Callithrix jacchus: one gene and its partner. The protein of the gene in region 1 binds, or shares a complex with, the protein of each later gene. Links are inferred from orthologs where the notes say so. Each region holds a gene or a part of one and is shown in the gene's direction. Other genes may lie near its edges.

Region 1 (3,565 bases):
TCTGTAAACATTGGCCCAGAAAATCGTCAGTGTTTACCATCTTCACTTCTTTTCCTTCTCCCCCCAGATCTTTATACATTTCTGATGCTTTTAAGTTCTCCCAAACAATGCTGTAGTAGCGTGTAACACTTTCAGTTGAGAACCTTGTTTCCTTTTTTTTTTTGTCTCACTCTGTCGCCCAGGCTGGAGTGCAATGGCATCTTGGCTCGCTGCAACCTCTGCCTCCCGGGTTCAAGTGATTCTTCTGCCTCAGCCTCCTGAGTAGCTAGAAATACAGGTGTACACCACTACCCCTGGCTACTTTTTGTATTTTTAGTAGAGATGGGGTTTCTCTATGTTGGCCAGGTTGGTCTCAAACTCCTGATCTCATGATCTACCCGCCTTGGCCTCCCAAAGTGCTGGGATTACAGGCGTGAGCCACCATACCCCGCCTACCTTGTTCCTTTTTATACTTTAAAACATCAAATCTATGTTTCGCTCTTTCCTTGATATTTGTTGTTTCTTGGCATGTACACTGATTTTGTTCTGCATTCACTGTACTTGACAGTCTTGTTCTGTTCTGTGGCATATCCATGATTAGCCAAGTTCATATCCTTGCAGAGTGCTGATGTTTGACATCTGTCTTTGAATTGATGATGATGATGATGATGATTATATTCAGAGCAACTGACATTTAAATGTTCTTATGCTTCACAACGTCCACCTCTGTAGTCAGGGTCCTTGTAACCCCGTGTCCAGCTCTCGCTAAATACAGTAATTGCTACCACAGTTTTCCAGATGCAGAAGTCGAATCTCAGGTTGAACGGGATTTGGCTATCATAAGTCCTAAGTTAGTGACAGAGCTGGAACTGGAACCTGCACCTGTGACTCCGAGTGCTTGTTGCAACTCTCGGATTTCAAAACACACAGCCTTCTTTTTCCTTCAGGTTAAAATCCTCCAAGCTACTGGGTTGCCACAGCATCTGTCCCACTTTGTGTTCTGCAAATACAGCTTCTGGGATCAACAGGAGCCGGTGATTGTCGCTCCTGAAGTGGACACCTCCTCCTCTCCCGTCAGCAAGGAGCCGCACTGCATGGTTGTCTTTGATCACTGCAATGTGAGTTTGTTTTCCAGAGTAGGTCAGCATTTAGATCACTCATGTAAAAACAAAGCAGAAAATGAACCTTATTTCTTTGAATAATTGTGCCAAGATATCTTGGAGCAGTTTCTGTGCAATGTGGGGATTGAGCAAAAAGTGTCAATGCATCTGTACTCCTCCACAACCCAAAGGTCACTTTTGCATGAGAAACAAATACCTATGTATGTATATGTGCATTTTCTTCTCTAAAGAAAATCTATGCCCTGTATTAGATTACTGGAGAAATTATCTAAAACCATTAAGAAACTTTTGTTTTAGAGAAAGCAAACATAGGTAGCAGAGAAGAGCTAACTGTTGAGCACCAAATGCTCTGTGAAGCTGTTACTTCTTCATTTGATGCTCACCACAGGTGTATTTGATGATAGTGCATTTGTTGTTGTTGTTGTTTTGTTTTGTTTTTTTGTTTTGAGACAGAGTCTTAGTCTATCACCCAGGCTGGAGTGCAGTGGCACGATGTCGGCTCACTGAAACCTCTGCCTCCCAGGTTGAAGCAATTCTCCTGCCTCAGCCTCCCAAGTAGCTGGGATTACAGATGCCTCCCACCACACCTGGCTACTTTTTTTTTTGGTATTTTTAGTGGAGATGGGGTTTTACCATGTTGGTCAGAATGGTTTTGAACTCCTGACCTCCAGTGATCTGCCCACCTTGTCCTCCCAAAGTGCTGAGATTACAGGCATGAGCTACCATGCCTAGCCAGTAGTGCACTTTTTTTTTCCAGCTGAAAACACAAACAGTTCAGAGAGGTCAGTTTGCCCAAAATAGTTGCTCGTCGGTTTGTCCGTGGCTGGTGACCAGCTGAATGTGGACTGTTGGGTCCCCAAGTCTTTGTTGCTCCTGCACCACATTTGATCCAGCTCATCTCTTTCGAGAGAAAGGTCTCTTTCTAATCCATTTAAAACAAATACTTCAGTACATTAAAGATGGAGAGAGAGAGAGGAGACACCAGCAGAGATAGGAGATTCTGTGGTTTCTGTAATAAACTGTCTTAGAGCTCATTCCTAATTGCAAAATGCTATCTTATAAAAATGGACGGGCTGGGAGAATTTTTACATATCAGGTCTTTTTTTTTTTTTTTTTTTTTTTTTTTTTTTTGGTGCTAACGATTATTTCCCTTACCTCCTAATAGAGATAGGTAGCTTTCTAAAAAGTGGGAAAAACAGTTTTGAACACACTACCTTATTGCATATAATAACTTTTATATCAACACATTATAGACCAGTGTTGTAACACTTTGTACAATTAGGCTTTTAAAAATAACTCTCAGAATGCTGCTAACAAAACAATACAATGCTGATCTTACATACTAGACTTCTGAGGTGAAAAGTTTTAAAAAATTTAGATTTATAGTTATGTTTAAAGTCAAGAACCTTAGGCCGTCTGAGCATTCATTATGCGTCTTAGCTGACAGTTCCGTATAACTAAAACATTCCTTTTTCTATTTTTTTTCTTATGTAATTAAGTATGTGATGTCTGGTATCAATCCTAAGGTTACCAGAAGGAGTTGCCTCTTTGTGATCAGCTATTGTGTTTCAGGAGTTTTCTGTTAACATCACTGAAGACTTTATCGAGCATCTTTCTGAAGGAGCATTGGCAATTGAAGTATATGGACATAAAATGAACGATCCTCGGAAAAACCCAGCCCTGTGGGATTTGGGAATCATCCAAGCAAAGACACGTAGTCTTCGGGACAGGTGAATGTTAGATGTTCATCTGATTCCATTTATATATGTGTAATTTTTTTTTTTTTTTGAGACAGTCTCATTCCCTTTGTCACCCAGGCTAGAGTACAGTGGCATGATCTTGGCTTGCTGCAACTCCGGCCTCCCAGGAGTAAACAATTCTCTTGCCTAAGCCTTCCGAGTAGCTGGGATTATAGGCATGCACACCACACCTGGCTAATTTTTATATTTTTAGTGGAGCTGGGGTTTCACCATGTTGGCCACACTGGTCTCAAACTCCTGACCTAAAGTGATCCGCCAACCTCAGCCTCCCAAAGTGCTGGGATTGCAGGCATGAGCCACCATGCCTGGCCAGATTCCATTTATAATTTTTAAAGACTGCTAGAAATTAGTACTGCCATTTATGAAGGTTACTCTTTCCTGAGCATGACCAGGGTTCCCTGGAGGGATGGTAGTGTCTCCAGGGTGTTAATCACGCAGGGAAGCAAACTTCACAGAATGATGGAAGAAAGTTCAATTTGTAGCTGGTTAAAAAGAAACAGTGAAATTAATTTTGGAGAATAGTGACTTACCATTCTGAATTACTTCTAATTAATCAGGTGTAGAGAGGATGGATCAAGATTCACTCTAGAGTTCACACTTTCTTTGTCTTTAGCTCATGGTTCTGAGTGGCTTCGTTGTTGGAAAGAGGTAGGTTTCTTTGCGGACTTAAAAGGAAGCATTAAAAGGGAATGACTGAAATTGCAT
Region 2 (3,565 bases), on another chromosome or scaffold:
GGCTCTGTTGAACTAGGGCTATTGGTGGCTCCTTCATTCACGACTCCTGTGGAGACCTGCTCTGTACTGAGCTCCGTGTCAGATCTGGGGATGCTGGGTCTTGGGTCCTCAGGCAGCCCATGTTAATGGAGAGACGGACTTCGTTAATCAGGGAGCCCAATTAATGAAGTCTGTCTCTCCATTGATGTCTGTGACAGGCAACCCCCAAATCCCAGGGGCCCCACGTGTTGGTTCGCATGTACAACATGATCTCCAGCGGGGCTGGCTTGGGTGCCTCTCCTCCTGGCAGTGACTCAGGGTCCAGACCCGGCCCCACTGGGCCTCCACTTCCCTGCACTGGAGTCCCCCCACCAGTCAAGGGTGGGCCCCAAGCAGTGTGAGGAGGGGGTCTATACTCAGCCAGGCCTGGAGGGCGGGGTCCTCTCCACTCATGATTCCCCAGACAGGCTTCCTTCCGCCTCGGCACCTGCCTGTCGGGAAGTACCTCGATTACCATCAGCCTCACCCAGGAGAGCCTCCACTTAAAAATAAAAGCATTTCGGAGCTGACACATCTCCCCCAGAGAGACTGTTCTCTCTAGGGCTCTCTTCAGCCGTTATTGTGATGGTCGTTTGGAGCAGGAAGAAAACAGGAGAGTCACACCGCAGCCCAGCTGCACCTTCCCTATGGCTCACTTTGCCATTTCAGAATGAGACATTTCACATGTGCAGAAGAAGACTGTGCTGTGGCACCCATACCCCACATGGTGGCTCATGCCTATAATCCCAGCACTCTGGGAGGCCGAGGCAGCCAGCTTGGCCAACATAGTGAAACCCCATCTCTACTAAAAATACAAAAATTAGCCATGTGTGGTGGTACGTGCCTCACTACTCAGGAGGCTGTAGCAGGAGAATCACTTGAATCCAAGAGGCAGAGGTTGCAGTGAGCCGAGATTGTGCCATTGCACTCCAGTCTGGGTGACAGAGACTCTGTCTCAAAAAAAAAAAAAAAAAAGAAAAAGATTCTGCTGCCTCAGCCTCCCAAAGCCCTGGGATTACAGGCACGAGCCACAATTCCCAGCTTTGTTGAAGCTTTGTGTGTGTGTGTGTGTGAGACAGAGTCTCACTCTGTTGCCCAGGCTGGAGTGCAATGGCGCGATCTCGGCTCACTGCAACCTCTGCCCCATGGGTTGAAGTGATTCTCCTGCCTCAGCCTCCCGAGTAGCTGGGATTACAGGCATGCACACTGCGTCTGACTAATTTTTATATTTTTAGTAGAGATGGGATTTCCCCACATTGGTCAGGTTGATCTGGAACTCCTGACCTCATGATCTGTCCGCCTCAGCCTCGAAAAGCACTGGGATTACAGGTGTGAGCCACAGTGCCCAGCTTTATTGACCCTTTTAAGGCAAATTAGACATGGAGATGTGGAATCCCTAGACAGGCTGAATTTGTGGCAGGGTGAAGCCAGAGGGCCTTTGTCATACCTGCCAAGTTAGTGCTGGCTGGGCGCTGTCACCAACGCACGGTGCATCTTGAGCGCTTCTGCGGCTATGGTCTGTTCGGGGACAGGCACCGCGTTGGATGGAGGCCTCCCTTGCACTCAGATCCTATCTGAGTTTTCCAATCTTGGCTCTGTCTCCCAGGGCAGCAGACACCGGGAAAGCACGTGGGCCACGTCCTCACAAGCGCTGGGTGGCTCCTGTTGGGCCAGCCTCTGCTGGAGGTTCCTGGCACCCCGTGCAGAGCCTGTGCAGATCAGCTTCCTCAGATGTCAAGGGGTGTTTTGGGAGAGCTCTGCCTGCAACTGGGTGGGGTCGGGGTTCAGGTGATGATGGGGTAAGGTGTCTGCACAGAGCCAGCTGTACCTGGGGGTCTCCTCTAAAGCCTCCCACGGCATGCTGGGGGCTCCTGACCCTGACCCCAGGCTCCGCCCACCCTCCCTCCGGGGCCCCTGGGCTGAGCCACTATGAATGCCCGGCTTTTCCTTGCAGATCCTGACTGGGCCTCCTACACTCTGGGAGTGTTCATCTGCCTGAGCTGCTCGGGAATCCACCGGAACATCCCCCAGGTCAGCAAGGTCAAGTCCATCCGCCTGGATGCCTGGGATGAGGCCCAAGTGGAGGTACGGTGGGGGTGGGGGGAGGGAGGAAGGGAGGCCCCCACCCCACGCAGTCTTGCACCACACTCTGGGTGGCCCCAGCTCTGGCCTTTTGAGGCACAGGCGCCAGGCGGTCTGGCTGTGGCTCCCTGGGGCCTTGAGCTGCTCTGAGGGGCCGGCTGACTGGCCCCGAGGCTGCGGAGGCCAGAGCAGCTGCAGGACCGGACCCCAACCCCTCTCCCACGGCTCCTCCTGTGTGCTGCTCCTCTCACCCCGTGCTGGGTCCACCCCTCTGTGGGCAGCTCCAGGTGTGTGTGGTGGGCCTGGGAGTGAAGGCCAAAGCTTATTCCCATGGCCTGAAGCTCCTGAGCGCTCCCCTCAAATCCTCACACCTGGACAGAGTGAGACACTGTCTCTTTAAAAAAAAAAGAAAGAAGGAAAAAGAAAACAGAATGCATCGCCCCAGACCCATTCGGCCCCACCTCGACCCCAAGTCGCATTTCCCGGTAGTCCCTGTGTACCCCGGCCTGCTGCCGCTTACGGCCGGTCCCCTGGGCAGCCTCTGAGGTGACACAGCCACCGCCCACCTCTCAGCCATGCATCTGATAAAGTTGCTGAAGCTCCTGTCATGGCCAGGCAGGGACACCAGCCACAGATGCCTCTTGGGGCCCTAGAGACACCCCTCTGGGGAGGGAGATGGTGTGAGCAACCAAGAACCTGGTGGTGCAGGGGGAGCCATGTAGGCTGGGGGTGGCAGGAAGGGCCCCAAAGGGAGACCCCAAGGGAATTGGAGAAGGAATGAGGCCCCAGTGAGGGTGGATGGGCTGCAGCTGGGATGGAGTGTGGGGCCTGAAGACCCGGGTGGGAGGTTTGCTCCAGCTCTGCTCATGAGGCTTTAGGTCTCAGAGTCACAGATCTACCTGGCTGCTGGTGAGAGGGACAGAGGGGCCGCGTGGACATGAGAGCAGTGGTCTGGGGGCTGCTGTGGGGACGGGGTGGGTCATAGAGGCTGGTCGCCCCTGTGCACGTCTTCCCAGCTCTTCAACACCACTGACCGCTGCTCCCAGCCCCAGCTCTCCAGGACCACTGACCCTGGTCCCTGCTCTCCAGGGCCACTGACCTCAGCCCCTGGCTCTCCAGCACCACTGGCCCCGGCCCCCTCTCTCCAGCACCACTGACCCTGACCCCTGCTCCAGCACCACTGACCCCAGCCCTTCCAACACCACTGACCCGGCCCCCCTCTCCAGCACCAGTGACCTCGGACCCTCTCTCCAGCACCACTGACCCCGGCCCCCCTCTCCAGCACCACTGACCCCGGCCCCCCATCTCCAGCATCACTGACTCCGGCCCCCCCTCTCCAGCACCACTGACCTCGGACCCCCTCTCCAGCAGCACTGACCCCAGACCCCGCTGGCAGCAGCTCGTTTGCTTCTAACAGGCAGCCTTGGTGCATGGGCTACACCTGGGGGCTTGTTAGAACTCAAGC

Evidence for each region. The genes of interacting proteins can lie anywhere in the genome.
Region 2: the proteins of KIF13B (region 1) and ADAP1 are in contact, whole or in part, in a crystal structure (PDB 3MDB), measured with the Homo sapiens proteins. The link is inferred for Callithrix jacchus from reciprocal best matches to the Homo sapiens genes KIF13B and ADAP1. Residues at the interface, in NP_056069.2 of Homo sapiens: Val451, Asn452, Leu453, Asn454, Ala455, Asp456, Pro457, Leu463, Arg512, Phe514, Asn516, Gly517, Arg531, Leu533, Asn536, Asn537, Phe539; in NP_006860.2 of Homo sapiens: Trp137, Asn143, Gly144, Gln145, Phe146, Leu147, Pro186, Ala187, Lys188, Ile189, Gly190, His191, Pro192, His193, Tyr211, Glu213.

The regions. Positions count from the first base shown.
Region 1 is NC_133514.1:12,564,470-12,568,034, forward strand, and holds part of KIF13B (kinesin-like protein KIF13B), read left to right. Parts: intron 1-926; coding exon 927-1,097; intron 1,098-2,672; coding exon 2,673-2,830; intron 2,831-3,565. UniProt on the Homo sapiens protein: Involved in reorganization of the cortical cytoskeleton. Regulates axon formation by promoting the formation of extra axons. May be functionally important for the intracellular trafficking of MAGUKs and associated protein complexes.
Region 2 is NC_133503.1:58,078,443-58,082,007, forward strand, and holds part of ADAP1 (arf-GAP with dual PH domain-containing protein 1), read left to right. Parts: intron 1-1,972; coding exon 1,973-2,103; intron 2,104-3,565. UniProt on the Homo sapiens protein: GTPase-activating protein for the ADP ribosylation factor family. Binds phosphatidylinositol 3,4,5-trisphosphate (PtdInsP3) and inositol 1,3,4,5-tetrakisphosphate (InsP4). Regulates the incorporation of CD63 and CD9 into multivesicular bodies.